2 linked regions of the Nothobranchius furzeri genome follow. The protein of the gene in region 2 interacts with the protein of the main gene of each other region in a biochemical or structural test. Links are inferred from orthologs where the notes say so. Each region holds a gene or a part of one and is shown on either strand. Other genes may lie near its edges.

The links. The genes of interacting proteins can lie anywhere in the genome.
Region 1: of the proteins of ptprc (region 2) and tyrosine-protein kinase CSK, one has a biochemical effect on the other in vitro, tested with the Homo sapiens proteins (2 studies listed by IntAct). The link is inferred for Nothobranchius furzeri from reciprocal best matches to the Homo sapiens genes PTPRC and CSK.

What each region holds. Positions count from the first base shown.
Region 1 is NC_091744.1:58,974,213-58,977,862, forward strand, and holds part of tyrosine-protein kinase CSK, read right to left. Parts: intron 408-3,650; coding exon 188-407; intron 1-187. UniProt on the Homo sapiens protein: Non-receptor tyrosine-protein kinase that plays an important role in the regulation of cell growth, differentiation, migration and immune response.
Region 2 is NC_091748.1:66,700,162-66,704,433, reverse strand, and holds the start of ptprc (receptor-type tyrosine-protein phosphatase C), read right to left. Parts: upstream 2,882-4,272; 5' UTR 2,706-2,881; coding exon 2,642-2,705; intron 1-2,641. UniProt on the Homo sapiens protein: Protein tyrosine-protein phosphatase required for T-cell activation through the antigen receptor. Acts as a positive regulator of T-cell coactivation upon binding to DPP4.

The sequences.
Region 1 (3,650 bases), on a different chromosome or scaffold from region 2:
ACTTCCTCTTTGGCACTTCCTGTTGATCAAATGTTCCAGGAACTGCACATCGTCTCTAAATTGGTAGCATTATGCTGCGGCTCTACACCCAGAGTAGAGCCCTGAAATGTTCTACACAGTTCCACACTGCATGCTACATATAAATGCGGTTCAATTAATGAGTTTAAACTTAAAACTTATGTCTCACCTCAACCAGCTGCATAAGGTTCTCAAAATAGCCATCCTCGTCGATGGTGAGCTTGCCGTTGTGGTAGATGATGCGATAGTGCTCCACCTTACCATCGCAGCTCACACACAGGGTGTAGTCGCCGGGAAAGTTGGTGCTTTCTCGCACCAAGAACAGGCCCGTTTCAGGAGGGTGAAGCAGTCTCTCTGCCTGATCTCGTGTTATCTTCCCATGGAACCATCTGGAAGTCATGGAGTCAATGAATACATCTCATAAAACAGACTCTTTTTGTGAATCACTTAAAATGTAGGTGAAAACAAAAACAGCCTGATACCAAAGGATTTCAACCTGCTTGTTTCTTCATTATAAAGCTACACATAGAAGCAAGTTCCTTATTTTGTTTAAAAGTCAGACTTGATTGTAATTTGCATTTTAGCCTTTCCTTCTCCAGTTGTGATCACTTTACATAATATGTGCCATTAACACTCAAAGTACACATTTAGTTTTACTGTTTGAGTTTGCACAGACTTGTCCACATGAACCATGAACTATAGAGCTTTATGTTGGTGTGCTACTATATTAGAACCACTTATGTTTTTATTTTACCTCCCAGAAGACGTGTTCGCTTATGCATAGATTATTAGAAAAACATCACACACACACAAACACACACACGCGCCTATGCTCTGACCAAATTTAGACAACTTTGATCTCTCACATCACTGAAATGTTTTGAGTATTTTCCTGCTAAAAGCCTTGTGTTTATCATTAAATATGTAGGATACTGGGTGCCAGCAGTGGACCTCTTTTCCTCAGCTCACTGTGACATGTCCCCTTCTGTCTCTGACCACCCTCCATCACCTGTCCAGCTTGTTTCACACACACACAAATTAATCAATTTGAATTTCTTGGTTTGCTTTGGTCCTTCTTGTTGGAGTTTGGTCAAATTTAAAGAAACCGATCTAACATCTAAAATGTTTTCTTAACTAAGTATCATCCGTACCAGAGATTAAGTGCTAACAGACCACAGAGAGTTTTGCAATATCACATGAGACTGAACATTGCGTTCAACATGATCTCAGTTTAAACTCTGGCATGAAAAACGCTGGGTGGTACACATTCCTGCAAGGAATTCTGGCACTTCGAGTTCAGTTATCCTTCAGAAATATTCATCTTTCCATTTTCAATAATAGCCTTGTTTCATTTTTGACTCCACATCGGCCTTTAAGGCTAATTAATCAAATTTTTGCAGCATCTAGATGCATCATGATTTGCATATTCAGCATGACCGTTTTTTAGCACAGAGATAGTCAAATGAAGTTTTCAGAATGTACAGTAACCACATTTCCATGTGCCCCCATATGACATTTAAATATCACAGATAAGCTTGTTGGAAAGCTCAGCCAAAGGCTTTGTGTCACAGAAACAGAATTGACTTCCTTTTGAGTTGTAGATAGTTGAAGAGGTTTTCCTGTCATTTAATCAAAACATTTGCAGATGTCTCTAAAAGGAATGTATGCCTTGTAAGTTGTACTCTGGCTACAAAAACGCCTGGTGCTCCTGTCTCAGGATCAAGATTGCCAGATCAGAGCTTCAGACGGCAGGATTTGGAGTCTTATTTCCTGATATATGGACAACTCACATCTGATTGGCTAACAGAAAAGTGACACTACCATTGACTCTGCTCTGCAACGTTGATGTTTTATCACCACAAATAACACAAGCCTGGAGGAGTTCTGCTATGTGGTGAAGTTGCTCCTACTAGCCAAGGCGCTTTCTGCTGTTTCCTTTAACAACAGCCTTTCCCATCATGAGTCAGGCTGGGTGAGTCCATGAATGTTCAGTGACAGTGTGACGTAGATCTGTCGGGCTTTTCAAATCCTAGATTTTCACTGTTTATTTTTGTAAGAAGCTAATGCAGAAGATATGTGTAGGGGACTATTTTCATGTTCAGCCTGCATGAAAAACTCAGAGTGATTGATTATAATCAGAAATAATCATTAAAAAATGTTTTTCAGTGAAACACACCTTTAAAGGGGACTGTTCTGTTCTGGTCCTGTTGGACCTGACTGCAGCCTTTGACACTGTTGACCATCACCTGCTACTGGAGAGGCTGAGATACTGGGTAGGCCTATCAGGAACTGCTCTGGAGTGGTTCTCTCATCTTTCTGGGTGCTCCTTCTCTGTGGCCGTCTCCAAGTTTAGGTCCTCCACCACCTCTCTTACCCATGGTGTCCCACAAGGTTCTGTGCTGGGACCTCTGCTCTTCCTCCTCTATCTGCTTCCTCTTCAGCACATCCTGAGCTCCTTCAAAGGAATCTCCTACCATCTTCACGCAGATGACATCCAACTGTACATCTCCTTCAAACCCCATGAGAGGTCTAAGCTGCAGCTGTTACACACCTGCTTGGACTCTATCAAAACCTGGATGGCTGGGAGCTTTCTTCAGCTGAATGAAGATAAGACTGAGATCCTCATCTGTGCCCCAGACAAGCTGGTTCCCAAAGTCAGAGACACTCTTGGTCAGCTTGCTTCTCACACCAAACTTTCTGTCAGGAATCTTGGTGTGACCTTTGACCCAGCTCTCACCCTTGATTCTCATGTCAGTTCTCTTGTTCGCTCTTCCTTCTTCCATCTCAGGAACATTGCTAAGCTGAGTCCCATTCTGTCTCGCTCTGAACTTGAGACAGTTCTCCACACCTTCATCTCCTCACGCTTAGACTACTGTAACTCTCTTTTCACGTGTCTGAGCAGAACCTCCCTGAACCGTCTACAGGTGGTTCAGAATGCCTGTGCTCGGCTTCTGACCAAGTCCTCCAAACACACCCTCATCACCCCGCTTCTCCTCCAGCTTCACTGGCTGTTAAGCAACTTCAGGGTTCATTTTAAGATCCTGGTTCTGGTCTTTAAGGCCTTACATGGACAAGCACCATCATACATTGGTGATCTTCTTAGTCCCTACAACCCCAGCAGTAGGGTTGGGCATTGTTTGATTTTGAACGATTCCGATTCCAATTCCTCTTTTCGGTTCCGGTTCTTATCGATTCCCGCTTCCGATTCTTTCAAGACATGACATGCTTTACATGAGCCAGCTAACCACAGGTCCTACTTGTTGAAATAATCTTAACTTCAACATGAATTTTAATTCTATGAACGATAACATCACCTTCATTTAGACAGAAACATGTTTTGGAGAAAAAAGAAAAAGACTTGCAGCACAACCAGTGTGTTTGTTTCTGACCACAACCAAAGTCTGGAAGAAGCCTCTGGGATGAGGCTAAATGTCTCCAACATATCCAGAAACGTCCAGCTGTTTTCAGCTACAACTCTCAGGATGATCATGTCCAGGATGACTGAGAACTACACCTCCATGCTGCAGCAGCGTTCAGTCAGAACAGGAAGTGAAGCTTAAATGTAGCTGCTGACAGTAACAATCTAACAGATTTTAAACATTAAAACTCAACAGAAATTGTTCAGAAAGGAA
Region 2 (4,272 bases):
TCATCAAATGCAAATATTTTTCATAATAAACCAGAAAACCGTTTAAACACCGACAGTCACACTCTGTGTGTGAAACCTTTTCCTGTGTTTAGCATGAATAATCAAAATACATAAATGTTTATGAACATGAATTACTGATGCAGCGCTACGCCTAAATACACCCAATAAAGATAAATAATCAGAGAATTAATAGTTTATTTTTCATAATTTAAACAAACTACAAAAAAATTTATCGGACTGAACAAGCTAAGAAATTGCTCATGTTTGTAGTTTTATCTTTACTTGAGAGAAAAGCCTCTAATCTGTATTTTTGATGATCAACATTAAATTCACCAATTTCTAATTATTCATGTAGATTATAGGTTTAACCCTCCCACTGTCCTAATGGGTGTGACCCCGCGAGGAAAGTTGTCCATTGAGCAGGATTGATGGTTTATCCCTTGAGGTCCACGTGGCAGGGGTGAGGTGGTGTTCACTCCTCACCCCGCCACGTGGACCCAAGGGATGAACCATCAACCCTGCTCAATGGACAACTTTCCTCGCGGGGTCACACCCATTAGGACAGTGGGAGGGTTAAATGGAGCTGTAGAAAAAGGCACCAGCAATTAAAGTAATTGAAGAATATTTATCCTTCTTTAAATGAGCTAATTAAGCACTAATAGGTAAAGTTATTAAATGTTTAACTTGCTGCAGGTGTTCGCTGAACATGTTTGCTCCTTTACTCTTATTGATTTATAGAAACAGCTTCATCACTGATGCACCACGATGTAAAACACTGTAAAGGTGACAGAATCTGGTCTCTCTTCTTTTTAGACTTTTTGTTGAATTTCTTATATATTTAATTAGCAAAAAGCCAAACCAGTTAGAAGTGTTTTTAGGGAGGTAGTTTGATGTTTTTTTTGTCATCTTTCAGGTACTTCTGTCTTCACCGTCATCGGGGCAAAGTGTGAAATGAAGGTGTGATGTTCACACGTTTAGGCGGGCTTGTTAAGGCGGAGGCAGAAGCAGGAAGATGAAGAACAAAACAAAAACTGAGCCTTGGATTAAAACTCCACCACTACACTCCTGACTACTTGTCTTTTTTTAACCTGACATTTTGCTAAAATCTCTGAGTAACACATGTTTGAGCCTCTCAGCATCAGGATGGAGTTGGCATGCCGCCTTATTTCATCCTCATTCATTATCGTCGCCCCCACTCCTGCTTTAATCACACTGACCTCAGTTCTTCATTTTAAGCAGTTCCTAATTTTTGTCATGAAATCTCGAGTCATTTGTGGCGTTTGTTGCGAGCTGCTCGACTCAGCTCTCGACAGGAAATGAAGGCGGCTCAGAATGGAACACGGAAGTGGTCACGACTCTGTCCTGCAGCAGCAAGATGCAGAGGAATGGCGCACTTTTGCTGGGGGCATTGAAACACAGGAGGCCTCAAACCGCTGTAAAAGCATGAAAGGATGAGATGAAAGAAAAGAAAGCAGAGCAAAAACTATTTTTATTAACTCAGTTCATTAGGCCAATTTAGCTCCAGCTAAGGCAGAGAAAGCACAAACAAAAACTGAAGTGTGTGTATCCTTTAGAAATGGTGCCCGATATGTTAGTATTTATAATAAAATGTATGCAAACGACAAAAGGAGTCACCTGACAAATAAAACCTGTACAGGTCGTTAGAAATACAAGAGTAACATGGACCCGGAGTCGAGATAAAGACAGGAAGATTAACGTGCTTATAGCAGAACACCGAGTGATGCTAGAAGCAACACACACACACACACACACACACACACACACACACACACACACACACACACACACACACACACACACACACACACACACAGAGAGAGATGCTTATCTTGATTCAACACCCACAATGACTAGGGGTTGCAGGGACACACCCCATAAAATCCTCTCATCTTAGATAGACATGCCTCTTCATCCTACACACACACACACACACACACACACACACACACACACACACACACACACACACACACACACACACACACACACACACACACACACACACACACACACACACACACACACACACACACACACACACACGTCAAAGCAGAACAGAAACATGATTGCAAAAGCTCCCTTCTCTTTGTAGCGAATGAAAGGTGTTTTAGGAGCGTCGTCTTATTAACGGCGTTCTTTGATTGAACACAAGAGTTGATTCTTTTGCCAAAGGGTCTCATAAAACCTGTCACTTCTCAGATTCTCACATCAGAGACGCGCCGGCGTGCCGTCTGCCGTGTCTTTGGTTTGGAAAGTTTAAGAAACGTGAAGCAGCACAAAAGCAGCAGCAAGTCAAAGGCTTGATATACTGTAGCTTGTCATTTCTGCCCTCAGTTTAAATGATTACATTTGTGAGCGGTGATGTTTTCCACTTAAAAAAAATTAAAAAAAAGATATTGTCAAGCTTGTTTGCTGACAGATTCATGTCTCCATCTCACATAAAAAAATCACCTTTTCTGACAAATCCCACACTCAAACAAAAACATCAGATGCACGAGCTAGGAGGTTAGGCGTCAGCACCTTAATGCGTTGCATGAAATAAAGTTTTTAAAAACTTTTTTGTTTTTTACATTAGAACAAAACACTGAACAATCCTTCCATAAAGAAACATTTTACTTACAGCTGGCCAAACCGATGACCATGACCCAGAGCAGCACAGTCTGGGGACCACGGAGACCCGCCATATCTGGGAGATGTGTGCGGACACACACTTGATGGTAAAGTCCTCGAGATGACCACCTCACAGATACTGGAGCAAAACTCCTGTTTCCAACTCTAATCCTAACGCCTAAACGTGGACCTTATTTAAAACTACATGCGTTTTTCTGTCTTATCTGCCAGAGCAGCTTCCTGAACTTGTTCCCTAAACCCTCGCTTCTGGTTCTGAGTCCAGTCAGAAACAGTGATGTCACCCCCCCCCAGAAGCCTGCCTTCACCTTGAGTCTCAGTGACAGGAAGCTTCATTTCAGCTACGCCACCAAGAACAGGAAGCCATCTCTTGTCTGATCTTCACTCAAGTGTGAAAAACCTTCAGACTTATGAAAAGGGAGGCAAACTTCTGCAGTGTCTTATTTAATTAGCATCTTTAAACCAAAGCGATGAATCAAGGATGTAAAGATGTGAGATCTAGAGTAAAATCAGCTTTTCTTTACATCAAACTCTTGTGAAACCTGAAGTGGTGCACCTTGCGTTGAAGCATTTCAACCACGTTCGTAAGGCGCTGACCACTCTAGCCACGGCCTCTCTGCTCCGACGTTTTCCCACCCTGTTTAGATTTCCCGCTCTCTTTCCATCAAGAGAGGGAGAACATGTGGCCACCGGCTCCAGAAGTGAACGTCTTCATTTCAGCGTGACACAGCTACATGTATGAGTGTTGTTAGATGTTTTCAGAGTCATTGATCGTGCACGGCGTTTGATCGTGGCGCTCTGCCTTGAAGGCCAAACAGCTTTAATTCTGTTTACATTCACAAGAAAACAGGGGATAAAAGAGGAAGACGAGGAGAAAAAAATACTCTCCAGGGGGGTAAAACTCTCACACCGGGTGTTGAGCTGATGTGAATCCAGATAAAATACAACTTTTTCCTTTTTCATGTGGTTTATTGGAATAATACATGGGACTGCGCAGTCTTTTTTAGAGTTTAGATAATTGCTGTTGAGCTGACAGGATTTTTTTTTGATCCTGCGTTGGTTTTAAACTCGACTCTGCGTGGCGGCAGGATGATTTGAATCATCGGTGCATGTCTCATCATACTTTAATACTGTTTTTGCTCATTTTGAAAAGAAAAGCTAAAAATCCGTGGAAAAAGCACTCCGAGCTCCAAGCAAATATGAACATACCACGTTTCTGTCATGCAAATGACTTTTTTGTTGTGAATATCTAAATATGCATTTCCTTTGAGAACTGTGATACGCACCATATTCTGTTAATTCCCCTTCTGAAAGAATACATTCTTGTAATCAGGAAGTGGTTCTTGAGCAAACAGGACTGTGTTCTTGCACCCAAAAGGAAGTTATTTGTTAGTTGTTGAATGGGTTTTGTCGGTAGATTCGCTGGATTCACAGACTTTCAGTCTAAAATATACAAATGAGTCCAAATGTAAAACCATTTTTCCACACCTGCTGCTGTTTTCTTCGCTAGAGAAAGTTAGCAGACTTGTGATCCAGCGTGGCTTTGGTGAACTATGTGTGGTTTGAAAAAACAGAAGACAAACTCAATGGTTTCACTGCATGATGCAATCACAAAAACCCCTT